Notamacropus eugenii: one gene and its partners. The protein of the gene in region 4 interacts with the protein of the main gene of each other region in a pairwise test. Links are inferred from orthologs where the notes say so. Each region holds a gene or a part of one and is shown on either strand. Other genes may lie near its edges.

The links.
Region 1: the proteins of EHHADH (region 4) and KCTD9 interact in binary tests that used the Homo sapiens proteins (3 or more experiments, as listed by UniProt). The two-hybrid records come from large-scale screens. The link is inferred for Notamacropus eugenii from reciprocal best matches to the Homo sapiens genes EHHADH and KCTD9.
Region 2: the proteins of EHHADH (region 4) and SSNA1 interact in binary tests that used the Homo sapiens proteins (3 or more experiments, as listed by UniProt). The two-hybrid records come from large-scale screens. The link is inferred for Notamacropus eugenii from reciprocal best matches to the Homo sapiens genes EHHADH and SSNA1.
Region 3: the proteins of EHHADH (region 4) and KCTD6 interact in binary tests that used the Homo sapiens proteins (3 or more experiments, as listed by UniProt). The two-hybrid records come from large-scale screens. The link is inferred for Notamacropus eugenii from reciprocal best matches to the Homo sapiens genes EHHADH and KCTD6.

Annotation. Positions count from the first base shown.
Region 1 is NC_092872.1:743,224,119-743,231,926, forward strand, and holds the start of KCTD9 (BTB/POZ domain-containing protein KCTD9), read right to left. Parts: upstream 3,008-7,808; 5' UTR 2,935-3,007; coding exon 2,821-2,934; intron 1-2,820. UniProt on the Homo sapiens protein: Substrate-specific adapter of a BCR (BTB-CUL3-RBX1) E3 ubiquitin-protein ligase complex, which mediates the ubiquitination of target proteins, leading to their degradation by the proteasome.
Region 2 is NC_092872.1:494,225,858-494,232,699, reverse strand, and holds SSNA1 (microtubule nucleation factor SSNA1), read left to right. Parts: upstream 1-3,920; 5' UTR 3,921-4,017; coding exon 4,018-4,069; intron 4,070-4,214; coding exon 4,215-4,414; intron 4,415-5,509; coding exon 5,510-5,603; coding exon of another isoform or gene 5,604-5,617; exon of another isoform or gene 5,618-5,913; coding exon 5,914-5,972; 3' UTR 5,973-6,175; downstream 6,176-6,842. Other genes in the region: ANAPC2 (anaphase-promoting complex subunit 2), read right to left, coding at 632-764, 2,655-3,283, 3,647-3,763. UniProt on the Homo sapiens protein: Microtubule-binding protein which stabilizes dynamic microtubules by slowing growth and shrinkage at both plus and minus ends and serves as a sensor of microtubule damage, protecting microtubules from the microtubule-severing enzyme SPAST.
Region 3 is NC_092874.1:466,814,752-466,822,906, forward strand, and holds the start of KCTD6 (BTB/POZ domain-containing protein KCTD6), read right to left. Parts: upstream 3,147-8,155; 5' UTR 3,032-3,146; intron 1-3,031. UniProt on the Homo sapiens protein: Probable substrate-specific adapter of a BCR (BTB-CUL3-RBX1) E3 ubiquitin-protein ligase complex mediating the ubiquitination and subsequent proteasomal degradation of target proteins.
Region 4 is NC_092873.1:56,193,588-56,201,272, reverse strand, and holds the start of EHHADH (peroxisomal bifunctional enzyme), read right to left. Parts: upstream 3,168-7,685; 5' UTR 3,095-3,167; coding exon 3,021-3,094; intron 1-3,020. UniProt on the Homo sapiens protein: Peroxisomal trifunctional enzyme possessing 2-enoyl-CoA hydratase, 3-hydroxyacyl-CoA dehydrogenase, and delta 3, delta 2-enoyl-CoA isomerase activities. Catalyzes two of the four reactions of the long chain fatty acids peroxisomal beta-oxidation pathway.

The DNA of each region.
Region 1 (7,808 bases), on a different chromosome or scaffold from region 4:
CTGAATTTTCAGTCTCCTCCTAAGTCAAATAGGGATAAAATGCACACTATTACTTCACAGGAATCCACAGAGGATCACAAGTCACAGTATGTAAAGTGATTGTAAAGCAATATTTAAATATCTAGAGGCACCACAGAGTGGCAGTCTTGGAGGCAGAGAGTTGGATTCAAATCTACTTCTGATGCACACAGGCTAGATAGCCATGGGCAAATTTTTCAATGCCCCATGTAACGTTTTTAAAGCTGTGAGTCACCCCAAAGTGGTCAATCTGCACCAGTGGGTGGAGTTTCCAAAAGGGGAGTTCCACACACAAATAAAATCATAGGTCAGTCAATAAACACTTATAAAATGCCCACTATGTGCCAAGCTTGCATTGTGCTAAGAGCTGGGGATACAAAGAAAGGCAGAAGTCATTCCTTGCCCTAGAGAAGCTCGGAACATGCCAATAACTGCACAAACAAGATAAATCTAGGACAAACTGAAGGTAAGCAACAAAGGGAAGGCACTGGCATCAAGGGGAGACTTTCTGAGGGTGGGATTTTAGCTGGAAAGGAGTTAGGAGGAGGAGATGAGGAAGGAGGGCAGTCCAGCCCTCCCCTTCCATGAGAATGCCCAGAGCCAAGAGATGGATTGTTCATGGAAGCGCCACGAAGAGACAGTCATTGGATTAAAGGGCCCACGTCAAGGTGTAAGGTGTAAAATGACTAGAAAGGTTGGAGAGGATCAGGTTATAAAGGACTGGTTTTATATTTGATCGTGAAGGTGAGAGGAGTCACAGAAGTTTATCATGTAGGGCAGTGACATGGTCAGACCTGAGTTTTAGGAAGATCACAGGTGAGTGGAGCAGGGATTCATGTGGGGAGATTTGAAAAAGTGAGACCAACCAGATAGATGAGATGTGAGGTGTGATGAGGGCTGTACCAGGGTGGGGGCAAGTAGTAGAGGAGACAAGGGGGAAGTATATAATACTGACAGCACTTGGCAATAGACTGGATATAGGAAATGAAAGTAAAGAGTCAAGGATGACACCTCAGATTTGAGTCAGGGTGACTAAAAAGATGGTTTCACCTTTGAGTTAGGATGAGCGAAAGGCTGGGGGGGGGGGAGGGAGATAGAGTTCTTCGCTGGACCAAAAACATGCTCACACAAATGTCACCCGGATCTACAAAACAAAGCTAGGTAGTTTTTGGTCTCATTAAAAAAAAAAAAGAACCTGTAACTTTCATTTGCCAATCATTTCTCTTTTTTTTTCATTTAATTTATATATATTTTTAGTTACATGTAGCAAAATATTTTTACATTGATTTTTTAAAATTTTGAGTTCCAAATTCTTGCCCTTCCCCTTCCTTGAGAAGGCAAGCAGTTTAATATAGATTATACATGTGCAGTCATATAAAACATTTCCATATTGCTAACTATTTTTTAAATGAAAAGAAAATTTTTCAAAAATAGTTTTTCTGATAGAAGAAATCTTAAGGTATTTTACACAAAAAGGTTACTTAAGGTTTGTAGTGTGATTTATTTCTGAGGCTCTGTTGCAATATCAATTGTCTCCACCTTTTACTAGCGTAATCCCTCTGGAATAAATTTAGCCACATCTGGAAATATTCTACTACAAAACTTGAGAAATGCTAATTACTTTCCTAAAATTCTCTGAAAAAGTGAAAAAAATTAAATAAGTTTTTATTCTTAATCCAAAATCTCCAAAGCTTCATGACCTTTTAAAAGAAAATCAACACCCTTGAACAAATATATGCAGACAATGCCTCAATTTTGGCATTTAAAAACTTAAAAACAAACAAACAAAACCTCTGTGATTCCACGGAAATGAAGAATATAGTTAAAGTCTCCACGATCAGGCCTTGGATTTTGCCTAGCCAGTTGGCATTTCACCAGCAGTAACATACCAGAGATGTTAGATAAGTAAAAGGTTGATCTGAGGCCTGTTTCTAGGGACAAAAATGTTTTGTGGTTCTGGATGTACTAAGTCATTTTTTTCCAGTGACAATACAATAGTTCTATATTTTGAATAATAGGAAAAGGCATCTGCAAAAAGAAGGTCAAAGAGGATGAAAACTTTAGGCCAAATGAAAGTGGCACAGAATTGTCTTCAACGAGACATTTCATTCCCATACTCTAGGAAATGATGAACAATGACCTTGAAAAAAAAAACCCACCTCATTGTTAGTTTGGTTTTATACTTGTATTTGGAAACAGCAACATGAAGGTAAATTTGAACACTGAAAAAGATTGACTTATGTGGACAAAAAGAAAAGTCAGGTTCAAAGAGAGAACTTAACTTTTTAACTATGTGTAGGTTTAATATTTATGAAAATCAAAGAACTTTCATTAAAACCCATAATCCTGGTCTTTGAATTACACTAGATAGTAATATCAGCTCAAGGAGGAAGCAAAACAGCTTTATAGTCAATGAAACAAGTTGTGGTTCAAATGCTGAATGCATTTCCCCTACAAAGGATGGTTCTAAATCAATCTGTTAACCAGGTGTAAAACACCCCTGGTTTTAGAAATGTTTCCTGGCCATACATGGACAACGTCTAATAATCCAGTTTCTCCTTTCTGCCATTCAGGGACCTAACAAATGTATTATTAAACAAATATTCCTCCCAAAGACCAACAGTTTCTAGCGATGGATAGTAGAGGTTTGGGGGAAAAATAAATGTTAGATGTCACACCTTGACAAGGGGCACAAACAGTTAATTGGGGAGAAGATGACAACCAAACAAGCCAAAGATTTCTTCCCCCACACCCCCAGCCCTCTTCCCTCCAACAGGATTTAAGCTTCACGGTGATACTTACATACTGTGTCTGACTCAAACGTTTGGTTTCAATAATGTGCCCAGTCTTGTCAGTAAAAACCTCCTCTTTACAACATCCCTGCTGTGTCTCCTTCCCCCAGGTGAAGGTCCTCATCACCTGCAGCCAGGCCCACAGCAACAGCACTCTAACCAATCTCTGTGCCTCATCTCTGCCCACTCCAGTCTAGCCTTCCACCAATCACAGGTCAGGCCTCATCTCCGGCCATGAACTCTGGCGGTTCCTGGCTCCTCAATCCTCTCTAAGCACTTGACAATCCAGCTACAGGAGCCTTGCTGCAATTCTTCATATGCTCCATCTCCCAACTCAGAGCCTTTGCACGGGCTGTGCCCCAGCTTGGAATGCTTCCTTCAGGACTGGCTCAAAACCCACTTGAAGCAGGAGGCCTTTTCCAGTCTTTGGTGTTACCTTTATCTACTCTGCATCGACTCCAGGATAAACCCAGATGCTTGGTTGGTTGTTGTCCTTCGTTCTCAAAGAGGACAAAAATGACATCACTATGATTAAGTCAAATTTCAGTGTGTCCTACTGCAGTTGATCAAACCAATACGAGCTCAGAATTACTACATATTAGGCACAGACAGTCCATGTCATTTGGGGTGAATACCACAAATTTGGGCATCTTACATTTCCTTTGTGCTGTCTAAACTCTGTTTTGCTCATAGAGCACAGCACCCTTTCTGATGTGGGCCCACCATGCTGAGCCGTCCTGTGCCAGTCTTTGGCATTATGTTTATCTACTCTGCATTGACTCTAGGATAAACCTAGATATTTACATATCGTCTCCAGCATTAGAAAGTGAGCCCCTAGAGGGCAGGATGGTCTTTAGCCTCTCTTGGTATCCCCCTGGGCCTCAGTAGAATAGCAGAATCTATAAGGAATTTAAGAAATGCCAGGGGCTGCGATCTGATTTTAGGTTGAATTGAACTTACACACACTCCAAGTTTTTAAAAAATCTAACGACAAAAAAAACTATAAAAGAATCACATTAACTTTGGTTTGTTAGGGGAGGGAGCTAAAGAAAAATCTTAAGAAGAGTCTACCAACAACAGTGATTCAGACCTTGCGTCCCAAACAGCTTGTGGCTCTCTGCCCTCCCTGTTGCTTCATGCTGTGGGCCCCAAGCCAGACCCAAAGAGACCTCTATCTCATCAGTAATGATACCCCCTCAGCTACTGACAAACCAAGCCAAACTCTGGCCAGCTTGGCAGTTTAGTGACAGATAAATATGGAAACCCTAACCCTAGAAGATCAATAAGGACTCTTCCCACTGCATCCACATCCTATGGTCCTGAGGCTTTCCTCTATTTGGAAGCTCACAGCCAGATTCTCTTTCTGAGAATGCCCTGGGCCTCCACTGCCTTTGCCAATAATAATCTGGAAAGAATACTGGATTGGGGCTCAGCATCCTAGCTCTGCAACTGGAACTACAGGTGTGACCCTAAGCAAGTCACTTCACCTCTCAGTTCTCCCAGCGTGTAAAAGCAAAATGTGAATTAGACAACACCCAATATCCTGGGAAGGCAGCTGGCCACACAGTGCATGGAACTCTGGACCTGGAGTCAGCAAGAACTAAATCCAAATCTGGTCTTGGTAGTTTACTAGCTGTGTGATGCTGGGAAGTTACTTCACCTCTCTCTACTTCAGTTTTCCCACCTGTAAAATGGAGATATAACAGCACAATGCGCCCAAGGTGTTTGTGAGCATGCAGCATCTGGATCGCAGTACATTCATCTAGACGTGCTCCCCCTCCCCCTACCTTCCAGCCAGAAAGTTATACTCCCTGTTGTAACCCTCAGGCACAGGATGACACTCAACCCAGTTCACATTTGCATAGGGCTTGCAAAATTTTGAGAGTTGCTTCAAAGGTAGGTGGATTTCCCAGGTTCAGGCCAGAGATTTTGTGGCTGTAGGGAATACAATAGGAGAAAATTCCATCCCCCAAGGCAGATTAGCTACCGTAGACAGTTCTCAGGGGGCACAGGGCGCTTTAGTGACTAGCCCAGAAAACAGACATTATCTGAAGAAACTGAAGTGGAAATCTTTCTCAAGCTGAGGGCCCTAGCCTCTACTATCCCTTCTCAGTGCACATAATATCAGTGTTTTACAGAGCAGGAACATGAATGGTGAAATGATTGAGGTGAGGCTCACGAATCTAGGAGCCTTAGAAGGTCATTGAGGTCCAAACCCATACATTTTCAGATGACAGTGATATGCCAAAACCAGCTCAGTTGTGCAGTGGATAAAACACTGGGCCTGGAGTCAGGAGGACCTGAGTTCAAATTCAGTCTCACACATTTACCACAGGGCAAGTCACTTGGCCCTGTTTGCCTCAGTTTCCTCATCTGTAAAATGAGCTGGAGAAGGAAGTAGCAAAGCACTCCAGTATCTTTGCCAGGAAAACTCCAAGTGGGGTCAAGAAGAGACTAATGACTAAAGAAAAACAAAGTAGTGGCAGAGGCAGGATTTAACCCATTTGACTCCAAAACCAGAAATCTTTCCAGTGATTTGCAACTAAGCAGTGTCTGGGTCTGGACCTGAGATCCTGTCATACTCCATCCAAATAAACTCAGGCCACTCAGGCACTGAACTTGGGAATCAAGAGGAGCCAGGTGGTTGCTCCGTAGAAAGAGAGGACTACCTGCCTGGGAATCGAGAGGACGAGAGTCCAAGGATCCTGGCCAAACTACAGTACTTATCTCTCTCTGGCCCTCTTTATCTCAAATATGACACCAAGAAATAGAAGCCTCTCCAGGGAATGCAAACATATATAGGCCTCTCTTCCCCGAGACACGCCCACCTCCCCCTCCCCCAAGACTTTTCCCTTACTTTGTAAATGCTTAAAAGTGGATTCATTGTTTCCACAGAGGAAAAGAAGCTCTGTAAGTGCAGAGAGGTTTCCATTTTTTGTCTTTGTATCACCAGTCAGGCCCAAAGTATCAACCATCCCAGAAGTCTTTAATCTCCCAAGGCCCCAGACAACTCTCTAAATTACAGGAGAGGGAAGATACTATGTGTATAGACATATATGTGTATGCAAATATCCAAAACACAGTAACATACAAAACAGACAAGGTGATTTTGGAGGAGGAGGCTGGAGGAGTAAGGAAAAGTCAAGACAGAACTGGCGGCCCTGGAGCAAAGTCTTAAAGGAAGAGAGTTTCTAAGAGGTGAGGAGGGAGGGCATTTTGGATGTGGAGGGTGGTCAAGGCAAAGGCACAGATGAGAAGTGGAGTAATGAGAAGGGGAGATAGTACTTAACCTGCCTGGATCTGTGTCCTTACCTACCAAATTGGGAAAGGGGGGGGAGGGGAGGATGATTAAACTTTACCCTTTCACTAGATGAGTCCCTTTGAGCTCTACATCTAAGATCCTAAGAGGGACAGAGCAGGAACCATGGAACAGGTGAAAAGGACTTCTATGTAATATGCCTGGAAAACTAGCTATGTTGGGAAGGGTTTTTAATTGCCAGAAGTTTATATTTGTTGGGTAAGCTAGTTTTCATCTCCATGAGTCTCAGTTTCCTCATCTATAAAATGAGAGGGGTGGGCTACATGGAGTCAGACCCCTTCCAGTCTTACATCTACAATCCTAAAGATGAGGTTCAGACTCTGGGAACTTCCTTGAACTCCCCCTGAATCTTCCCACTTAATCTGGCCTTTCATACTCAAATCTGTTGCCCTAGGCCTAGCCTGGCCTTCCATTGTCGGTTACCTCTCGATAGCCCCACCTACATCCCATCCAGAATTGGCTTCCAGCTGTTTCCCACCCTGGATCACAACATTAGTTACCCCAATCCCATCAAGATCCTCCTTAGACCCTCCTAGGAGACCCCTAGACCCCCTCTAGATCTTTCCCACGGACTTTCTGTATATAAATTCCATCTCGCCTCCATGAAGGCACTCAGATTCCATCCAGCTCAGACTTCGTCTAGCTGAGATTCTATCCGGCCCCCTGGTGAGTGCAAGCGTTACAAATGCTTAGGCTCCTTAAGAGGCAACCCAAGGTGGCGAATCTTTAATAAACTTTGGTTTTAAGAAGTCTGGAGTCGAACTCATTCTAGCAGGACCTGGGGGTGTGAGTACTTTCGGGCACAACACCCCAACCTTATCAGTAGGATCCTATTTATATTACCTTGACCTTGCCAAGTCCCTTCCCCTCCCCCGCCTCAGTTTCCTCATCTGTAAATGAAGGGATTATTAGACTAGGCGATCTCTACGGCCCCTTCCTGCGCTACTCCCACGATCCTATGTTAGCCTCAGTTTCCCGACCTGTAAAATGAAGGGGCTGCGCGGTGATAAGGGGGTTAGCCGCCTCAGAGGAGGCAGCAGCCACGAGGGATGCTCCCCGCCGCCAGGAAATCCCCAGGAGCGGAGAAAGGCAGAGGGAAGCCTAGACGGGGGACCCCGGGGCGGGGGTCCTGACGCCCCGCCCCACACCTGCCGCACACCTGGAGCGCCGGGCCGGCTTCCCCCTCCTGCCCCCAGGGGCCCCTCCCCCACCCCTCCCCCCGCGACCCCTCCCCCACCCCTCCTCCCGCCGCCCCTCCCCCGCGGCCCCTCCCCCTCACCTTGCCGTTCTTGGGGCTGCCGTTCAGGAACAGGGTGACCCGCCTCATCGCGCTGCCCGCGCCGGGTCCCGAGGGAGCCGCCACCCCCCCGCCTTCCCCCTCCCCCCCGCCACCCACCCGGGACTCAGAGGCAGCCCTCAGCCTGACCCGCCTCCCTGGGGGGGGGTCCTTCCGCCCCAGACCCCAACACACACACACACACCCCCGAGAGCCGTCCCCTCCCACTCTCCACACCCCACTACTCCGCCCGTTCCTGGCCTTTCCCCCTCACCCCGCCCTCGGAGAGACTGGCGGCGACGCAGACCAATCACCGAGCAAGGCCGGAGGCCGCTTGTCCAATCGCGAGGAGTAGGGGGTGGGCCCGAATTTAACGTGACAGAGGGAGGAGGCTCAAGTGGGA
Region 2 (6,842 bases), on a different chromosome or scaffold from region 4:
ACTACTATTTACTCTCTTCCTCATATTCTATGGTACATTAATATTGGCCTCCTAGCTGTTCCTCAAACATAACACTCTGTATACCAACCCCATTCATTTTATTGGCTGTCCCTCATGCCTGCAAAGTTCTCCCTCTTCCTCTGCCTTGTGGCCTTCTTGAGGATTCAGTTCACATCCAATCTTCTTCTGACTCCTAACATCTTCCCTTTGAAATTACTTCCCATTTACACTACTTATGTACACTGCATATGCATAATTGTTTGCATGTGAGCTCCTTGATGGTAGAAATTATGTTTTTGCATTCTTTGTATCCTCAGCACTTAACAGGGTGCCTAGTTCAACATTTATAAATGTTTAAGTTACTGAACGATTAACAACACTACACTCACAAGAGCCTATATGAAACCTAGACCACAGCTAATAATGCAAGCCTGGGCAAGAACCATAAAGGTACAACAACAAAAACCCACATAAACCTGTTCAACTACAGTGTAAATAAAAAAGGTTATCTGTGTATTGTACCACTCTAAATTTAGATTCTGGTTCATTTTTTAACTAACTCTCTTCTACTTGTTAAAATTGTACTCCCTTAAGCAAGAATCAAGAATGCAAAGTCACAAAGAGAGCTTACCTCCTGAAATTCATTCAGGAAAGACCTTTCATATTCTCCCCGACATCGACGTTCCATCCTTTCCTCAATCATTCGGTGGAGGATAGTTGTAACAGCATCAGCACTGACTCTCTCCAGCAAATTTAGCCTGTGCCTGAAGGGAAGCCAGTGTTCAAAAATCTTATCCCAAGCCATGTGAAGAATTAGCTGAAGCAAGGGATGAGAGGGAAGGCGATTCAGAAGGTACAAAGTATGAAACCACAAATAAGGAGTTATGGTCCTCAAACAGGACCTGAACCTAAATCCAGAAAGATTAAGTCGCTAGCCCCTCTATGCTGTAAGAGTTTTCTCCCCATCCCAAAATATTTAAGCCACCTTCATCCTCCAATAAAAAATTCATACCATTAGATACACCACTTAAGTGTATATCACATTATTTATAGAAAGCTCACTGTTAAAATAAATGTTGAATCTGGAAAAGTTGAATCTGGGAAACAAAGTTCCCATAGTTCCTCAGTACCCCCAAAGAATGGAACTCTGAGAGCATTAATTGAAAAAGAGCTCAAATTTTGTTGAATGGAAGATCCTAGGGGCAAAGTCCAAGAAGACCACTACAGTGGGAGTTCCTAGGCAAATAGTAGGTCAGGAGTTGCTAAAAGTAGAGATAGAGGCACAGAAGAGGTGATCTACTTCTGCTGAGGGACTTGCCCTCAAGGGCAATAAAGGATTGGAAAATCTGCCAAGATTACAAAATTTCTTAGCTCTAACTGGTGAAGTAGCACAGGTCTGACCAGCAGGTGTCCACACAGATCAGCCAACAGACAAGTAAACATGGCTCCAATGGATGCAAAGGTACTTCTGGATAAGACAACTATCCCACTTGCTCTTTTTTGCCACTGAAAAAATTTGTAAAAATTCTGCCTGGGTAAATGGACACTACTGTGGTAACTTAAAAATGATTAACTTTTGTGATTTTTAATGTAGATCTAAACTGTAATGACAAATGCATCCTTAAAAACAATTAACCACATACTTTGTGTGTGTGTGTATCCTGCCCTTCCTACCTTGTGTGGTTCAAAAGGGGGTCCCTCAGAGAACCATACTTAAAGACTCATTTTGGGCATAACTAGTATCACTATAGTAAAAATCTGTAAACCAAAAAACTTCAAAGTTTACTCTGGGGCACATTTATTTAAAGAATTTTTGAATATACAAAATTCCAGTACAAAAGAACTGGGATAACCATTTGGATTACATCAAAATAAAATCTAATCCATGAAAATCAATGGGAACCCCAAACGTCAAACCAGAAATCTTAGTCATTTTAGCAAAACATCTCTTAACATATTGCTGAAAAGCAAAATTCTTTCCCTCAAACTCTTTGATGGTCCTTAAGTACTTCTAGAGAATGCTAGTAATTTTGGACATAAAAAAAAAGCCATGAGCTAATCTGCTCCAGAATACAAAACAGGGAACCTCAAGGGTCATCTAGTCCAACCCCTAACCATAATATGTATTATATCTACAGTGCTGTTAATAAGCAGTCATGAATCATTCACCTGGAAGCTATGCAATGATGGGGAACACAAGACAAATCTCTTTTCTGACTTACTCTCCACTGAGTATAACTAAAGTCTAGGAATGGGTGAAGAGATGAAAACATGATAATCAATGCCTAAAGGTGTGAATTCATTATTCCAACAAATAAACACTATTTTCTGCTAATGATATAGCACCTCACACACTCTGACATTCCCTGCAATTAGGAGTGAGGGAAATAGGTTATTTAGATGTCCTAAGATCCTCTTCCACTACCCAGAATTAAAAGGTTTCCTCTACTACAGCTTTGTTAAACCCTGCCTGATCCCAGGGAAAGTGACTAGGCTAGGGGACACTTTTTTATAGGTTAATAAGATATGGAGCTAGATGGAACCTGAGAGATAATTAAATCTGATTCCTTTATTTTACAGAGGAGATCCCCGAAACCAAAAGAAGCAGAGAGATATGCCCAACGCCACAAAAGTTACAAGTAGCAGTCACTTACAGTATCTCACTAAGCTGCTGGAATTGTTCCAGAGCCACTGAGCACCAGCACAGCTCCTTAGCACTGTTGCAGCCGGCACACTCCTGGCCCTCTGGAGACCCACTGTCTTCCAAGTCACCTTGGTCCAACTCTGGCTCACTCATGCCACTTTCGCTCATTCCTTCATCCACTTTCTTTTTCTTCTGCTGATGCATGTAGATTTTAAAGGTACGCGCATAGAACTGCTGGATCATCTCCTGAAAGGTTTTCGTGGTGGAGAAGAACAAGATGGCTCTAAACATAGTATAGACTTTTTCCCGCAGACCCTGAGAGCCAGTCCCCAGCAACAAGCCCATCTGCGTCCACTTCTCCAGTAAATCCAAGCTGTTGAGGTAGGGGTCCAGTCGACACTTGAGCAAGCCAAAGGCTTCCAGGAGGAGCAGGACGCACTGGGGCTCTTCCGCGGTGTTCTCATATTGAGCAATGGCATTCCAAAACTCGGGGGCGATGTTGGACTGCAGGTCAGTCTGAAGCACCTCGGTGAACCACTCCTCCAGGATCGAGTGCAGCTCATAGCACTTCAGCACCTCCACAGCAGCCTGAAGCTCCTCTTCTTTCAAACTCACTGCTCCGGGTGGCCTGGAAGCTGCCTAAAGAGCACAGAACTCGTAAGAAGTGGACCAAGAGGGGTCAGAAACAGAGCATCTCTAAAACAAGGAGGAAAGCAGCTCTAAAGGTCAGCCAGAGGAGGGAGAAGAGTCAGGACAGGAGGAGAGCGGACGAAAAATAAGAGCTGGAGCCTGAGAGACCAGTTGGGGTCTGAGAGGAGGCGTGGGGCTGAGTGGGGATGAGGGGCAGGAGGAGCGGAGAGGGAGATGGGCATGAGGACAGGGGGCTGAGCGGGGCGGGGGCGGGGCTGAAGGAAGAGAAGGGGCCGAGGGCAAGGATGCGGCCGAGAGGAGGCGGAGATGCGCCGGGAGGGACGAGCCCGCCCGCCGGAGTGTGGCCCTCACCAGCCCCAGGGCGGCGGGCGGCACCAGCCCGGTGCTCACGGTACTCCAGGCCACTGACAGCTCCGCCCCCGGGGCCCCGCAGGCTGCACCCTCTACCATGGCCGCCACCGTCGCCATTTGCGCTGACAGGCCCAGACCCCGCTCCGGCTCCCGCAGCCGCAGCGGCTCGGATGTCAGCCCTGGCGCGCGTCGTGGTGACGTCAGACGTCACGCAATGACTCCCCTGAGCCGACGCGGCGCGACCTGATGAGCTCACGGGCCCATTGGCGCGCAAAGGAGGGCGGGAGAGCGGTATCCGAGCAGGCGCAGTGATGCGGTAGAGGCGGTTGGAGCTGGAGTAGGAGGCTGCCGGTGGCGGGAGCGCGGGGAGGATGAGCCAGCAGGGAGCGGCGCTTCAGAACTACAACAACGAGCTGGTCAAGTGTGAGGGCCGCAGGCGGCGGCGGAACCCCGACCCCGAGCCATCCCGGCCCCCCGAGCCACCCCCCGCCCCTCCCCCCCTGTGCGGCCCCGAACCCCGCCCCCGCTCCCCGCCCGGGCCCCCACCAGCCTCTCTCGCCTCCCCCAGGCATCGAGGAGCTGTGCCAGAAGCGGGAGGAGCTGTGCCGGCAGATCCAGCAGGAGGAGGATGAGAAGCAGCGGCTCCAGGGCGAAGTGCGGCAGCTGACGGAGAAGCTGGCACGGGTCAACGAGAACCTGGCCCGGAAGATCGCCTCCCGGAACGAGTTTGACCGCACCATTGCCGAGACCGAGGCCGCTTACCTCAAGGTGGGCCTCCCCCCGGGGGCAGGTGGGCCGGCGCGCCGGAGCCGGACCCTGCCCCCCCCCCCCAGCCCCCATTCCCGCCGCTCAGGAGGGTACTTAACCCGTGGAGACCCCAAGCTCACTGGGCACCCCTCCCCGAGATGAGGCGGTGCTCCAAATCCATGTGTTGGTGCTAAACACCTCGGGGTCGGCAGAGGGGAGGTGTAGCCTTGCGAACGCAGGGTGGTTTGTTCCAGAGAGCAGACAGAAGGCTGGATTTGCAGCCCTGAAGTCATGGAGTCCAAGCCTACCTCAGACATTTAACTGGTTGTGGGACCCTGGGCAACTCGCTTAACCTCCCCCAGGTTCAGGGGCCTTATCGTTAAAATGAGAGCACTGGACCCCAACGTCAACAAGTCCATCGAGAGTGCCCACCAGAGATCTGAATTTTCAATTTTTTAAGGGTAGAGCTGCCAGACATTCCCCACCCCAAATGAAGTCCGCACCTTTATCCTTCTTGTGCTGCCCCACCCCCCCCCAAGCCAACACTGTGTACTAGGTGCTATGCTAGACACGAGCAGGAGTGGGAAACCTTCATCTCTCTAGGTCCTCAAGTATGGCCCTCTGACTCCAAACTTTACAGAACAAATCCCCTTAGAGTTTGGGATTCAGTTCAGAGGGCCGCACTTGAGGACCTAGAGCACCATATGTGGCCTTGAGGCTGCAAGCTGAACTAGAGGTACCAGGAGACACCAGGTGTGATGGAAAGAGAATTGCATTTGAAGGTGGAGGGTGTAGTTCAATGTTCTACTTCTACTACTTGCTACATTGAACAAGTCCCTTAATTTCCCTGGGCCTCAGTTTCCTTAAATGTAAAATGAGGGAGTTGGACTAGATGATCTCTTAGGTCCCTCACAACTCAAACTATGGTCTTACAAATATAAAAATGGCACAGTCCAGATCCTTGACTTATTTGAAGATGAAGGAGCATATATACAATATGTAGAGAGTACAATAAAAGGTAAGTAGTGATGGAGAGAGAGGGCCCCTTAGTACCCAAAAAGCTGCATCTTTCCAAGATGTGCAAGCTTAAACTGTTTCATTTTTTTCTGGTCACAGATTCTGGAAAGTTCTCAGACGCTACTCAACGTCTTGAAGCGAGAAGCAGGGAATCTAAGCAAGGCCGCAGCCCAGGACCAGAAGAATACTATGGGCAAGGACAGCTGAACTGGGACCATGGGCTAAAGCCTGGGGCTTGCCTTACACTCCCTTTTGTAGGTCTGCAGGTGTCTTCCTTGAGAGGGAATCTGTTAATAAAGTATCTTTGTTTTTCATAGCTGCAGCATTTCCCTTCTCTTGCTATTTCAGGCATGTGAGAACAACTTAGCTCCCCAGTACCTCATGGGTATTCACTGTTCTCTGGGTGTTTCATCTAACATGTCCTAAAGAAAAGGGGTAATTACAACAGCCCAGCCACTTGGGGTAGGGGTTAGTAATGCTCTGCACGTTTCATTGCCTTCCAGGCAGAAGGAATCATGGGGAAGAGGAAAACAGAGAGAGGACGAGAGGCAATTTTGCCTGAGAGTTGTCACTGCTGTCCTGGATCAGCCTTCAGGATATTTATTCCCAGGCCCCATGCTTCCTTCAAAGCAGGTGGCCAGACAAAGCCAGTAATTGTGGGGATGAGTGGCCAAAAACCCTAACTAGGGACATGAACCTTAATGTATACATGTAGTCAATATATTGCAGTTTTATGTGTGAATAAAGTTTTCCTTATGATTTTCATCTCTGAGCCTGCTGTCTGTGTTGTGGGGGGAGAATTTTTTTTTTAAACCAAGAACCAGAAGCCTTTGTTCATTGTTAATAGTCTTTGCCCAGATGGCTTCTTACCCCACCCCCACTCCACCATGGAAGTTGGTGAGTAAAGAGTATGTATGAAGAGCTAGAGATACAGGCACAAGATGAGGCTAACAGGACCTGGTTTGGCCACTTGACCAAGGGACCAGGACCTTTCCCTACATGGAAATGAGCAGAGGCCCCAGAGGAATAAAGGACTACACTCTCAGTTTTTTCTAATGTTCATTAAATGCCTAGTAAGGGCAAGGAAGGCCTTGTATGATTATATAGCAAGTCTGTATCCTATCTTGGTCTTTGATTATTCAATCTCTTTTCATATTGTTCTCCTTGTATGTCCACTATTCCATTCAAATTGACCTGTTAGCTTGTTCTTTCTACCTCTGTATTTGCACAAGTGGTTCCCCCACATCTTCATACCTCTTTCTCTTAGAGTCCTTGTCTTCCTGTACAACACAGCTCATGTGTTGCCTCTTAAAAGAGACTTTTTCTGATATCTTGGCATGTTAGCACATTCCCATTGAAATTATATTATTTCATACACAATTTGCATTGAGTTACTTGAGTACATGTGTAAGTTCTTTGAGGGAGAAATTGG
Region 3 (8,155 bases), on a different chromosome or scaffold from region 4:
ATCTATAAATTTCTATAGATACCTCACAACTTGAATAAATAATACTGAAGACCAGTAACGACTACCTTCACAGAATTTCCAGACAGACTTAAAATGCCATTCTACTAAAGTCCCTGCTTCTGGCATTTAGAAACACAAGACAAGAATAAATTTCCAACATCTGCACATACCTTCAAAATTACCTCTGTACTCAGTTTCTCAGTTATAGAACCATGTGGGAGTTTAAAAGTAGAATACTTTTTATAGCAACTAGTTCAGAGAAATCTAAAGAGTCCTTCAGGTTAACATACAAGCTAGCACAGGCAGCCACTGCATCTTGGGGTGGGGGGGAATGTTTTTATATTTATAACAATAGGAACTGGCTTGTGATTTCATTGGTATAAGGAACTCCCAGGTGTGGACACTCCCTCCCCTCATGAAGTTCAGTCCCTTCTCTGTACCTTAGTGTCAGAGAGCTATCGTGGCACAAGGCTAGGTGAAGGGACATCCACGTGGCAGTGACAGCTCTCGAGCCAAAGTCCTTCTGGCTGTGAGACCTGCTGACCATCCACTCACTACTATGCTGCCCCACAGAAAGCATGCTTCAAAGCTTACAAACATGACCTTGGGATCTTGGCCATAGCCTCGAAAGGCAGGCAGGTACACTGGTAGCATCACCTGCATTTTTACTGAGGCTCCAAGAGTTGAGGTGACCCTGAGTCACACCCTAGAGCTATGGGACATGGGTCTGGAGTCCTTGCAGTCTCTCCTGGTTCCAAGCCACAGGGGAGCTGTTAGACAGTACTGTGAAGATGGCACTATTCTTAAAATCTTTTTTCTTTAGCCATTCATCACCACAGTGCAGTCTAGCAGAACAGGCTAGTTCCAGCATCACTAACTTGATGGGTGAGAGGAAATTAATTCCCAGCACTGAGGCACCTCTATTTCTCTGATGATAAAATAGGAATACAACCTTTCCTCCCCGCTGCACATGGATATTAGGGGAATACATTTTGGAAACAGGATGATTTCCTTCCTTTTCAGTTCTGTATATGAAAATGATGATTAAATGGTTGGGGGGAGGGGAGTGAGTAAGAAGTTTGTTTCTGTTTTTAAGTACCATATCATCTTTATCATCTTTCCATGTAGTACATAACTTCACTACATGAAATTTCTGTAATACGCTGAAGGCCTGAGTTAAGAGAGGGACCACAGAGCTCTCTAGCTAACAGACCAGGAGTAAGGGACTGCAGCGCTGCCTCTGTTTTCCCCATCCGGGCTCTTCTAAGGGGCTGCAAGGTCCCCCAGAGGGACCTCCAGATGGTAGCCTCATCAGAATTGGGGGGGCCCCACTAGCCCAAAGTATATACTGTTCAGGAAGACTGCTATGGCAAAAGTGGTTCCACAAAAGAAGTCCGAAGCCAAGCAAACCCTAAGTGTGAAAAATCCAGATAAAAGAAGATGATGACTGTCCTCCCCAGATTCCTTTAAATTGCAAGTTCTTGTACAATTACAATGTGATTATATTTACACAAAACTTCGCAGAAGCAGTACCTAGTACTGGTTGGTGCCCAATCGTGGATGCCTTGGTCTTACTGCATAATACAAATACCTGTATGGATTATTAGCTAGCCCAAGAACAATTTTCTCAGCTATGCTAAAAGGAACAAGGCCTTCTCCCCAAATAAAAGGCTGCTTTCCTTTAGCTATACACTCATTCATTCATTCATTCATTTAAAACACCCAGCCTTTACTTCTTGATAACCTACTGCTCACTGGGTTTTTTTTCTATTTTGGGCATTTGTGATAGAAAATTAGTATCTCTGAAAAAGGGAAGATCAATAAGGGCAGCCATGAGGCACTTAATTAATGTTTCATGACACCATGAAGCCTCGCTGGCAATAGGCGGTCCAAGCCTACTTGCTGCATTAGTGACTACACAAAATGCTGGACAGAGTTCTCATCCCCACCCTTAATCCAGCTCAGGGCTGCCTAGCTTGTCACCCCAATCTTAAGGAGAATGCAGTCTTTTAAACCACTCAGAACTTCTCTCAAGGCTCTCACCGAGGTGCCAACAGAGATCAGCACCCAGGAGGGTGGGTCTCTTCATCCTGCGAGACTCTGGGTCCAGGGGCACCACAGATCCTCCACCAGGATCTAGCACCCCCCTGAAGGCCCTCCCCTGGGCCCCTGCCTTTTGTGGGCACCGGTGCTGCCCTGGGGCCACCCTGGGGGGGCCCCACTCTCACCATACAAAGTTCTACACCCCCAAGATCATGGACATCCTACATAAAGGGCAGCTGGCACCGATGCCAGCCACAACGACTGTCCTGCCATGGCCCGGGGGCCAGCGGGGCTCGGACCCGGGCTGCCGGCCTCCCTCGGGGCCCCGCTCCTCGTGTCCGTGCCCAGCTCCCTGCCTCATTTTCCATCCTCTGGTACCCAGAATGTTAAAGAAGACGCGCAAGTGCTGGATAAAAGGCCGGCGGCCGGCCGGCCGGACGTCTGCACGTCTGGTCAGGATGCACAGCGTCCTGAGGGAGAGATCCGGACCGGCCACGGCCCGGGGAGCCTCGGGGCCTCGGACCGGACCGGCTGCGGCACCGGCCGCCGGGTCCCACGGCCCGGCCCGCCCAGGCCGGGATGGGGGGGACCCGCCCCGCATCCCGCCCCGCATCCCGCCCCGCATCCCGCCCCCCCCGCCGGCCGACCCCCGCCTGCTCCGGGGCGCTCCCCCCCGGGGGTCTCCTGCCCCCGCTCCTCCACAAGCCCCCTCCTCTGGGGAGCTCGCCTGCCGGGGAATCTCCTTCCCCCCCCGCCCCTCGACGTGCCCCCCCGGGGTCTCCTGCCCCCCGCTCCTGCCGGGGTCTCCCCGGCACGTCCCTGCACGCCTCCAGGGGAGGGGGCGCATCCTCGTGGCCCCCCGCTGAGGGGCCCCTCCCCTGAGCCCAGACCCCCTCCAACTTTCCTGGGGGGAGGGCAGGGGTCCTCCGAGGCCCCCCTGCTTGCCCAGGTCGTAGGAGGGGGGTCCCCAGCCCCCTGCCGCACTCACCGCCGCAGTCGAGGCCAGGCCGGGCCGGGGCGGGAGGGAGGCGGGCCGGGCCGGGCCGGGCCGGGGACACAGCGCCGCCGCTCCCGCTCCCGCCGCTCCCGCCGCTCCCGCTGCTCCCGCCGCCGCCGCCGCCGCCGCCGCCTCCAGCCGAGCGAGCTGCCGCCGAGCGAGCGCGGGCGCGGGGTTCGCGGGGGCGCGCGGGCGCGGCACGGGCAGGGCGGGCGCGCTCCCGCGGGGGCGGCGAGGCTCAGCCGGGCCTGACGGGAGCGCGCGGGCGAGAGCGAGCGGGAGGGCGGGGAGGAGCGGCGGCCGCCTGCGCTCGGCTGCCCCCTGGCGGATCCTGGCGGCGCCGCAGCCCTCCCCGCCGCCGCCGCTCCCCTCCTCCAGCACCAGACCCAGGAGCCGGGAGCCAGCCCGGCTGGGAGACAGCGGTGGGGGCGGGGCCTGGAACTGGCCGTGGGAGCTCCCTGTGTGTGTGTGTACATGTGTGTGTGTGTGTGTACATGTGTGTGTACATGTGTGTACTGTGCACGCGTGTGTGTGTGCAGGGGGTGCGGGTGTGTGTGCAGGGGGTGCGGGTGTGTGTGCAGGGGGTGCGCGTGCGGGTGTGTGTGCAGGGGGTGCGGGTGTGTGTGCAGGGGGTGCGCGTGCGGGTGTGTGTGCAGGGGGTGCGCGTGTGAACGGGGGTATCCGGGTAGGCTCATCCCCGTGCTGCAGCAGCCCCCCTCCGCCTCCTGCCCCCGCACTGCCCAGCGCACGCACCCCCACTCACGCCGCAGGCTCCCCGCACCCCGCGTTCCTGGCCCTTCTCCCCAAGCCCCAGGCGGGCGGGGGCCGCGCTGCCCAGTGGTCAGGATCGCAGCTCTCGCCAACGGGCTGCGATGGAGCCTCGGGCGGCACCCGCTAGTGCAGGGCTCAGCCGAGTGGGAGAAGACCACCGACCCCGAGTCCCAGCCTGCCCGCCCTCCGTAGGACCTTGGCGGAGTCACTGCCGCGCTCCAAAGAGCGCTCGGGACTGGGCAGCCTGTAATCTAGGGCTCTATACCGTCGGGGGAACCTCTCTATCCCCACCCACCGACCCCTGCCAGAGGGTGCCCTCCAGCCCGGCATAGAGCCTCAGCCCCAGGGGAGCCTCAGCCCCTGCTTGACGGGTTGACCTGGGGTTACACCTTAGAGGTTTAGCCCGAGCCCAGATGTGACAGCTGAGCAGACTGCCAAGAGGAGGCCCCAGGAAGCCCCTGCCTCCCGCGGGGGCGGGGGGGGGGGGGGTTCCCGGGCTCCCAACAGCAGCACTTATAATGGCATTTCAGCTGCATTAATAGGTAGAGTATGTAGAAGGCTGAACCAGGTCTGCAAGACCTGAGATCAAATCCTGCCTCGGACAACAGCTGGCTTTGTGACCCTGGGCTGGCAGCTCACGAAACTTTGCTTGACTCAGTTTCCTTATCTGTAAAATGGGGCTAATAAGAGCACCTACCTCCCAGGGTAGTGGTGAGGACCTTATGAGATAACGTCTGTCAAGTGCTTCGGTAAGCTGGTCGCGCTGAACTAATGTAATTGGTTATGATTCTGGGCAAGGCCGGCCCAGAAGCTCTTTTTTCTCAGAAGATGCCCGCAGTACCAAATGCTCCCACCTCCTCACTGGCAGACGGCTAGATCTTCTCTAATAAATACCCAGAATATGGGGGAGAAGCTGTGCCCGGGCCTCCTCTCTTGGTCAGAAATGCTTAAAATATTCTGTAACACTCATTTCAGTTCAACAATCTCATGCCCCCAGACTTAACCCTCTCAGCTCTGAAATTCCCACCATCAAAGTTTACTTCATGGAGTGAAGAAATAAGGAGAAATGATTCATTGGATAGAAGCCAGTATATTCATGCACCAGGCTATGTCCAGGCGGACCCCAGAAAGGTTTCCAGTCCACCCCACCAACCCTTGCTGCCCTGCCTCCACCCACCTCCCAGCTCTGAAAATCTACCCATTTGTCCTCACTCCTGAAAAGGACCCATCAGTCTCTTCCCCCTAGACTCCCATCCTCATCCCTGTGCCTTCCCAAAGTCCACCCTGGTTTCCCCTCCTCCTGTGGCTTCCTCCCTCCCTATTGGAAGAGCAGGCCCCCTGCTATTTGTACCCTCAGCCCTGAGCAAAGGCTTAGCGGGTCCTGCTAAGAGATAAGGAAGGGACTCGTGATGTTACTGATGGAGAATGGCTCCCACTACCATGGCAGGTTGAGGTAAGTCGACAAGCATGTGTAAGTCACCTACTATGTGCCAGGCACTGTGCTAAGTATTGGGCATACAAAGAAAGGGCAAAAGATAGTCCTCCAAGAGCTCACAGTCTTAATGGGGGAAGAAACCTGTAAATAAATGTGCACAAACTATGTGTATGTGTATACATACATACAAAAACACATGCACACAGATGTATAGGTGTTGAGTAAATAAGCAGTTACTGGGGAAATCCAGAATCTTTTCCTTTTTCCTATTTCAAAGTCCAGACTTTCAAAGAGACCTCTGACCTTGCCCCAAAAATTATACCTCTAGACCATCTTCTTTAGGTGGAAATGTTGCCCCACCCAACTAGAAAACCTTACAAAGAAAGTGGAATCTGGGTGAAATCCAGATTATTGTGTTCCTCCGGCAGGTCTGTGTGATCAGTCATGTCCCCCAGCCCCTCATTAGAATAGGTCCACCTCTCATTATCATGTTCATTATTGTTAACCAATCAGAGTTGATTGCTGCCTGCCAGGAACACCCATTCTTCCAAAGGCATATAAGTGTCCAGAAGCCACCAGAGGTCTTTGGCATTCAAGAGTGCCACTCACCCCTTTTATTAATTATCTACTAGCAATAATTAATAAAATGAGCAATTACCCAGAAACTATGTCTTTAGAATTTTTTATATATCACAGTATGTATTCATGCACACAAATATCCATAGGTGTGCATGCATGCACACAAATATACACTTGTATACATATGTACACAAGTATGTGCATGCACACAAATATAGACTTGTGTGTATTCATGCAAGTATATATACATGCATAATTATATGCATTGCAAATAGCCATTTGTGCATATACATGCCTACACGTATACATGCATTCATGGGTACATATGCATAAGAGCACATTGGTGACATTCACTGCATGGATGTCAATGGAGCATGCTGGCTGCCTATGAGCTCTCCCTCATGGGTAACCAACCCAGCCATTGTAAATGTCACCAATTTCACCGATGACGTCCTTTACAGAAGACTCTCCTTCCTGATTATACTATCCAGCCATGCTCACTGCCACCATGGACCTTTTTATCACCCTGTGGGTGAACTTTGCCTACATTTCTCCAGAGACTGTAATCGTTTCTTTTGGCCTAGAAAGCACAGTGAAAAAAATCAGAGAAAACAACTTGGTCTCCCGGGCAGAAGAAAGAAGCTTCCTACTAATTCAAGACAGAGAAGAACAGGTTATTCAGGGAGAGACTGAGCCCTCCCTCCCTGCAGATCTACAAGCAAAGGCTGGCAGATTACTTGGAAGCTATGTTGAGGTCATTCTCTTTCAAGCACAACGAGACTATGTGGCCCCTTGGGTCCTTCCTGACCCTGACACTCTGAGGTCCACAGGACATCCCTTCAAGCACCCGAGGTCAATAATCATGTGAGCGCTATTTCTGCTCCTCTCCAGACTAAACATTCCCAGTTTTTCCAATGTATTCTCATGTGATAAGGACTCGAGACCCATCACAGTCCTAATTTGGACACCCTTTGGTGTCAGTTTCATTAGAATCCTTCCTAAACTGTGGTGTCCAGAAATGAACACAATATTCCCAATGGTGTCTGACCAGGGCAGAGAACAGTGATTTCCTTATTCCTGGAAGCAATGACATAGATCCAAGGTTGTTAGAGTGTGGTGCGGTGACCCCTAACCCTTTCAGGAGGCCAGAGATTCTACTTCTGGAGGAGTCAGAAGGATGTGTAGTGCAAGGGCCATGTAGAGACTTGAACATGCTTAGTCACTCTGTGACTGGTTCTGGTCTGCTAACCACATGATTAGGAAGAATCTTTCCAATTGGCCTCATAGCTAGGACTAAGGAAATCTTCAAAAAGGCCTGAGTCAGCTTTGGTCCAAGCTCTTCACCTCATCCCCTTTAGTTGAACTCCTTGGATCATGATGAGAGACAGGTTCTGCTATAAGCAGAGGAGAGACCTTGGGTCTTTTAGTCAAAGTCACATGGTTCTGAGAACAGGCTTCAGTCCTTGGCTTATGCATTTGGTCCGTTCCTTCTCAGGTGAAGGGATTAGAGCCTGGAACCTTGTCGGCATCACATGATCTAGACTGGAGCATCTGAGCTTCCCACAATCTGAGTCTTGTAGCCAGCTCAGCATCCATACTCAGAGGAGTCAACTTGGGGAGTGACCTTCAGGACTGAGCCCCAAAACAGCTAAAATGCAGAATTTTCTGGCAGTCATGCCGTACTTGGACATGGAATGTTATGTAGAAACTGTGCTAAGATTAAGCCCCCTCTTCCCAGAGACCAAAGGGAATATGTATATATGTGTGTGTGCATATATGTATATAGCTACGTAAGTATATATAAAATTGTCCCCTGAGGTATTGGGAGGAAGTGTTTCTACTTTGTTTCTTTTGTGACTTTTGAACTCAATATCCCTTTGTAAAAGTTCATTGCTATCAAGTGAGAAAATGGAATTGAGACACCAGTGGGGGCTCAAGTTAATAACGTTAGGGAAGAGATACCTGTAAAATCTTTACAGTTACCCCTAGAGCCCTGAAGGAGTAATGTAACTGAATGGGTGAGCCCAGAGGACACACACACACACTTTATACAAGGCTTGCAAAGCACTTGGCCTGTGTCATCTCATTTAGTCCTCTCTACATCCCTGTGAGGCAGATGTTATTGTTGTCCTTATTTTACAAATGGGATTCACAAAGAGGTTAAGTGACTTGGCCATTGTCACAAAGCTAGTCAATGTCTGTGGCAGGATTTGAATCCGGTCTTCTTAACTTTCATTTCTGTGTTCATGGTTCTATCTGCTGTGTTCCCTGGACTCTTAATGAAGGGTTCGACCTGGCTGTATCTTGCCCATCCACATTTCATGGACTAC
Region 4 (7,685 bases):
GGTTCAAATGAGACAAAGTAAGAAAAGTACAATAGAAATGCAATGATTCTCATAGACCTTGCATGGGAACAACTGCAATTCTGACCCGGCTGCTTCTTCAAAGTCCCATCCATCACCTTCCCCTCTTTTTTTTCAGCCAGATTAAAGGACTGTACCTACATTACTTTATCAATCTTTCAAACATCTCCAAGAAAAATGGTCTGGATGATTAAATAGGCAGGCTCCCTTTCTGCTCAACTCAAAGCACTTTTTCTTCCTTTCAAGGTCTTGCAAAAGCCAGGGTCAAACGGCATTCACAAAGAAGTTCCCTGCTTATCAAATAAAAGTAGACAAAACTGCACAGTAAGCTAACTCATCAAAGAAGGCCACATCTAATCAGCTTTCAGTTGGTTCCAGGGATTAGAACTCTAGTTCAATAAAGCCCCAAAGTCTTTGGGTTAAGCTGCTTTAGGAAAAGAATAATTTTCATTTCCCTGACCAGTGTCCACTTCAACTTCAGCAGTAAAGGAGGCTGGAAGAGAATCCTTCCTTTAGTATTTTCCCTAACGACCAAGCAGGAGATTACTTTCATAGGCCAAGTAAGATAAGGCTGGCTTCCAGGCTGGGGCTTCTCTTGAAAAAAGCCTGAAGAAAATGGTGTTTCAAAGTCATTCTGCCTCTTTGGGCCTCAGTTTCCCTATCTGCAAAGTGAGGGCATTAGATTAGATTACTTCTAAAATACGTCCCAGCTCTAAATATATAATATATGATAACGACTGGGAAAGGAAACTGAACGTAGTAGGAGGAATACAGGTTTGCAGTTGAAGGACTGGATCCCCTTGCCTGTAAAATTGAGGGAATTGTAGGAGAAAGATCTTGGGATGGTGAAGCTAGAGCAGGAAGGGAATTCTGAGGCCCTGGAGATCTCTTGGAGCTACAGGAGGGGTGGAGAGCAGTGGTTTTATAGATGAGACTCCTAGGAGAAAGAGGAATGCTTTGGTGCAGGTTGCTAAGGCACTGGATGCTGAGACGCAAGATGACCTCTAACCTATAGCTCTGACTGGAAAAAGAATGTCTCAGGCCCTTTTTGTTGGAGTTGGACTTCTATCTCAGGCCTTTGCACTGGTTGTACCCCATGCTAAGGGGCACCCTAGGTGGTGTAGTGCATAGAGCACCAGTGCAGGAGTCAGGAGGATCTGAATTCAAATGTCACCTCAGACACTTGATACTCAGTAGCTGCGTGATCTTGGGCAAGTCACTAAACCCCAATTGCCTCATCCTAGGTCATTTCCAGTCATCTTGATGAATATCTGGTCACTAGATTCAGATGGCTCTGGAGAAGTGAGGCTGGTGATCTGCACAGCCCTCCCTCACTCAAAACAAAGTCAAGGGCAAGTCATGTCATTATTTCTCTGATGGCATGGTCTTCTTCAGCAACAAAGGATGAGCACACACACCCCATGCTAAGCATGCCCTCCCTTCTCATCTCTCTGCCTCCTAGCTTCCTTCAAGTCTCACCTTCTGCAGGAGGCTTTTCCTGGCACCCTTATCACCCAGTGCCTTCCTTCTCAGATTACTTTCCATCTATTCTATATGTGGGCAGCTGGGTGGTATAGTAGATAAGAGTGCTGGGTTTGCAGTCAGGAAGATTCACTTCCTGAGTTCAAATCTGGTCTTAGACACTTGCTAGTTGTGTGACCTTAAGCAAGTCACTTAACCTTGTTTACCTCAGTGGCAAACTACTCCAGTATTTTTGTCAAGAAAATCCCAAATGGGGTCAAGAAGAGTTGGACATGACTTTAACTAATGAACAACTCTATACAAACCTTCCTTATAAAGTATCTAGTTCTTTTTCATGTTGTCTCCTCCATTAGACTGGGAGTTCCCTGAAGGCAGGGACTGTTTGTGCCTTTTCTTTGTAACCCTAGAGCTTATCACTGGCCTGTCACCTTGAAAAAGTAAATCAGTGCTCATTGATTGAATATTTGTGGCTGATGACATCTAAATCCCTTCTACTTCAATTTGGTGTCCAGAATCTCTTCCTTCCAGCTGAAAGTACATAATTCCTAAAACAAAAAAAACAAATGGCTTCAGACATAACATCTGAAATCACATTGTGGAAATGCAACTGGAGTCTGGACTGGACAAAGTCTAAGGATGCTCTGTAACCCTAATCTGACCACTCCCCTTCCAGGCTGGATTTAGACGACGTCTCTGGTGATGGGGCGTGGCAGAAGTAGAAGGTCATTGAAAAAATAAAAATACCAAGTCACTATAGCAAAGAATCATATCTTATAAAATTTTATGTCATGGTCCCCTTTGGGAGCCTAGAAAGGCCTATAGATCACCTCCCAGAATAAAGTGTTTTAATGCACAAGATAAACTATGCATCAAAATATATACTTTTTGAAGTTTACAGACTCCAGCTTAGAGGAGGTTCCACAAGTCCCCTCCAGTTCATATCATGCTAGTGAAATAGTGAGTAGAGATTTGGGGTTCAAGTCCTTCCTCTTCTCTTAATACCTAACCATTGGGAGCCTCAGCTTCCTCTCCTGAAAAATAAATTTGAACTCATGTCTTCTAAAATCCGTCTGAGTTCTAAATCGATGATCCTAGAAGCTCCTTGGTCAAGGGACAAACAGGTTTTCATCTTAGTACGCCCAGAGCCCGGACCCATAGTTAGTAGGCACTTGATAAACGCTTGTGGTGTGTTTGCTTAATGTCTAGCTGATTTCCAAGCACAGATCACACATCAGGAAAGGCTGGCAGGAACCCGGAGGATCTCCCGCGACAGTCCTGGGTTAGGCTTTCCAAATCCCTCCCAGCTCTAAGAGGGGCGGGAAGTGCTGTCTAAGATCCTTTAAGAACGTCCTGCAGGAATCTAGAACGCGGAGGGGCTGAGCCCTGAGCTCCCTCCCAGCTCTGCCAGTTCCCGATTTGCCAGTTCGGGGTTAGGGGCTCAGGGCTCTGCGGGCGAGCAGGCAGGCGGGCGGACAGTCGCGGCCGTAGCTGCAGCGTCGCGCCCCCTCCCTCTCACCTACCTAAAGGTGTTCAAAGGAGGGTTCCGGAAGCGGATCACAGCCAGAGAGTTGTCCAAAAGCGTGTAGTGGGCCATGGCTCCTCTCAGTCACTGGCCGGGCACTCGAGCTCAGACTTTAATGAAACCCAGAGAGGGGAGGACCCGCCCTTGGCCAATGGGGTTCCGTGGCCCGCCCCCACCCTCTCACTGGGGATCCTCTCCCTCCCCAGCCTCCAGAGCCTGCACCACCCCTAGATCCACCCCTGGGAAACCTAGCCCTCCCTTCAGGCACTGTCCTTTGCCTCCCTGTGTCCCCCCCTCCCCCCGCCAAGATCCCTACTATCCCCTCTTCCTCCGCCGCCCTCCTGCCCAGGACTTCGCCCTCTTTTCTCCTCAGCTGGGCTCCCAGGTCCCAAACAAGGCCTTCCAACCTTCCCTCTCCCGGGTGGAGTCTCCCTCCATCTCAGGACCTCTCCCCTTCCAAGCTCTCCTCTTTCCTGCCCTCCTTCCCTCCCACCCCGCCTTCTTTACACTGCCTGCCACAGAAACAGGAACCAGAGACAGTCCTGCCCTCACACAGTCAAGAGTCAGGGGGATAGGTTACTTTGGCTCACTTTTTTCTCCTCTTTCTTTTTCATTCTTTGCAACAATGGATGGTTTGCTGGGATGGGGATGGAGTGATACATTCAGAAGTGAAGGTGATATGAACACAGAAAGATAACAATAGGATTTGTGAAAAGGATATTATGTTACTCCCTTGCTCTAAAACAGAGGTGGGGAACCTGTAGCCTCGAGGCCACACGTGGCCATCTAGGTCTTCAAGTGCAGCCCTTTGACTCAATCCAAACTTCACAGTTAATAAAAGGATTTGTTCTGTAAAACTTGGACTCAGTCAAAAGGTGGCACCGAAGACTCTAGGCCTAGAGGTCAAAGGTTCCCCATCTCTGATCTAGAAGGTTCTGTGACTCCCTATTGTCTATGGCAAAATTCAAACTCCTTTGTTACACAACTGAAGTACGGAGATTTTTCCAGTCTCAGTCTCAGTCTTACAAAAGCAGGAGTCCAAAGCAGAGGTCCTGTTTTCAAGGATCATGAAAGGGAAACTGAGGCAGCCAATCTAAGTGGCAGTGTTTAGTTATCCAGATTTCATTTCCTTTATTTTGTCACATGCCTTCTTGTCCACTGTAAGCATGTGACATCCCGGAGGGGAAAGTGGATGAGGTGGGATCCCTTAGCTCTCTTTTTCCATGAAGCATCCTCACCCCAGGGCTTTAAACAGAGGTGGAGGATAATTCCGAAGAACTAAGAGGGCCTGGCCTAGGCACAGGTTATGCAGACAAATAGATGAGAGGCACAGACACAGAGATACAGAGGGGTGTTCAGCCAGAGAGAGGCTCACATATCCATGTCGCCTCTCCAAGACACCAGTGAGGGCTCAGGACTGGCATCCTAGGTACTTGTGGAAGGAGAGACAGAACCTTGACCAGAGAGAGAGGTGGGAGAGAAGATGGAGTTGTCCAGCCTCTCTGCTATCCCCCTCCCCCAAAAGAGACCCAGAGGTCGCAGTTTCTGCTTAGTCATCAAGGGGAGGAAGGATTGAGGGAGGAGGGAACCCCATCCATGAAGGAATAACTCTGTGGCACGAACCCTGTGGGCGTGGAAGTGTAACTCGAATAGGGTGACTAGACCTTTGTCCCAGATTTTCCTCTGGTACTTCTCACTGATGGAGTGATGGGACCTGGACCGCTAAAAGGAAATGACTATTTCTTTGAAAGCAGTCCTTGAATTTTCCCACACTTTTCCCAGTCCCTGGCATTTTGCTTGAGGCATCAGGCCCAGCCCAGTTCATCTAGATACTTAATAATCCTTTTAACTGCCCCTTTCACTGTGGCTTTCTGATCATTTAAATCCTTTCATTCTCTGCACCTGGCCAACCTCAAACTATTTACTGCTCCGTAATCCCATCTAGACTCCGTCTCTGTTGCCTCTAAGCCATCCTAGGCTATTTACCACTCATTAATCCCATCTAGATCTTCTCACTGTCTTATAAGTGTCAGTGTGTTATATATTAATATCTGTTTTATCACCATCAAACAGCAGATTCTTAGAATCTCGGAATTCCAAATAAACCTCCATACTTTTGACTGAAAGAAGGCTTGAGTGGTAGAATTCTTTCAAGGCAGACCCCATGCACCCTGCACTTCAGGGTTCCCAGCAACCCAAACCGCAACATCATCACCTTTCACCTAAATTTGCCCAAGGCATAGTTACTGCTCTTTAGGTTCGGAGGGAAAATCAAAGAGACCAGATAGATAGTTTGATGTCCAAAAATGGTACATGAGTTTTCATGATAGTTGAAGGACTTCAGTACTGAGAGAAATTATTAACAACCAATGACTGGGAAGATTCAGAGTTCCCCTTTTGTATAGTACTCATTTCAAAGTTCAGTCTTTTGATTGAACTCATTGTTGAAAATAGATCGAATTAACTCTCCTCAATTTTGATCAGACCAGCCCAACCTTACAAGGAATTTAATCTAAAGTGGGGAAGCCCATTGTATTCTACTCAGGTTTGGATGGGGATAAATTCTTTCATTAGAGTGCCCAAAGCTAGGGATAGTCTGGATCTCTCTTTGTCCAAAAGTGACATGATGTCACTCTCAGCCTCTCATTGGAGTGAGCCCACTTCTCATTTTAATATTCATTCTCTCATTAATTGCTAACCAGAGTTGACTGCCACACTCTAGAACACCCACTTTTCCAAGGGCACATAAGTCAGGAGCCTGCTCCCCATGAGGATCTTTGACATTCAAGAGTGACATTGACCTCTTTTATTAAAATGCTAGCGTTATTAGTAAAATGACCAATTACCCAGAAATTATGTCTCTTGAACTTTTTAAACATTAAACATAAATCTGTTCTACATTTTTGATTGATTTAAATAAAAGCAGTCCAATATTCTCGGTTTGGTAGCAGAAGAGCCTTATGTGGATCATCAGAGGAACAGGAACTGAATTCTGATGTTCTCAGAGGGAACAATGCATAGGGATTTTGTGAGCTAGAAATATTGAAATGCAACTGATCTTTCAAATATATATATACGTGTATGTTTGTGTGTCTTGTATGTCTGTGTGTGTACACACACGTATGTAAATATATATGTATGTGTGTTCAGTCATTTTTCCATCATGTCTGAGTCTTCATGATCCCATTTAGTGTTTTCTTGGCAAAGATACTAGAGTGGTTTGGCATTTCCTTCTCCAGCTCATTTTACAGATGAGAAAACTGAGGCAAACAGGGTCAAGTGATTTACTTAGGGTCATACAGCTAGTAAGTGTCTGAGACCAGATTTGAACTAAGGAAAATGAGTCTTCATGACTCTAGGCCCAGCACTCTATCCACTGCTCCACCTAATTGCCCCAGCATATGGTGCTTAATAAATGCTTGTTGAGTCTCACAACTATCAGACTGGTAAAGATGCCAAAAGTGGAAAAATCACAATGTTGGAAGGGCTGAGAGAATTCCAGCACACTGGTACACTGTTGGTGGAGTTACGATTTGGTCCAACCATTCAGAATGTGTGGCTTCAAAGTCACTGAACTATGCGTGCCCTTTTGTGATACTATTAACTGTTATTTAATTAGTTATTAATAATATGCCAATATTAGGCCTATGCTCCAATGAGAAGAAAGAGGAAGAGGACCCATACATACAAAAATATCTATAGCAACTCTTCTTATTATGGCAATAAGCTGGAAACTAAGGGAGTGTCCATCAATTGGCAAATAGCTGAAAAAATTATGGCAAATGAATCTAATGAAATATTATTTCATTCACTATTTTCTCTATTGTGTTGTCCTTTGTTCTCAAAGAGGACCATGAAATTAGGGAGGTGATGCCATGACATGCAAGTGAATTGGAATTAAGTGAGGGATGACTGTGCAAAGTCACCAGTCGCACTTTCTCCTCTGGAGCCACTGGGTCCAGCAGGCGAGATATAGATCAGGATGACTGGAGATGGCCCTCTATTGCACTGTAAGAAATGGCGAAAAGGATGGCTTCAGAGAAACCTATGAGGATTTGTATGAACTGATACAGAGTAAAGGGATCAGAACCTGGAGAATAATTTCTACTTACAACACAATCAAGACAACTAATTTTGAAAGACTTGTAACTGATCAATGCAGTGACTATCTGTAATTCCAGAGGGCAAGTGATAAAGTTATTGATTTCATGAAATTAAAAATTTGAAAAAAGTTATTTTAATTGTTGATTGAAGTTCATTGAGGTAAGCCATAAATTTATGGCTTAGTGTCAAAATTCCATTCTTGGCAACATGCTGAAAATGTGATTAAAGTTAGATGTGGAGACAGAAAAAAAATTGATGATTGATTAATTGATTAATGAAAGGAAACTTGGCCCCTCAAACACCAGACCAATTGATTCTCTTTATAAGATCTGGAAAACCACTGACTGTGAATTCAACTATCATGAGTCTGCAGATGAGCCGAAGTCAAAGGCTATGAGCAGATTTGATCTCTTCTCTAGACTGTTAACATATGGAGTCATTACATCACACACAGACCCTTCTGCTTTCTCCTGGCAAGAATATGGAAGTGCACTTTTTTCTATTGGTTTTTTCCATCTTCCTGACCTTCTAAATGTTGGTTTCTTTTTCTGTTTCTTCT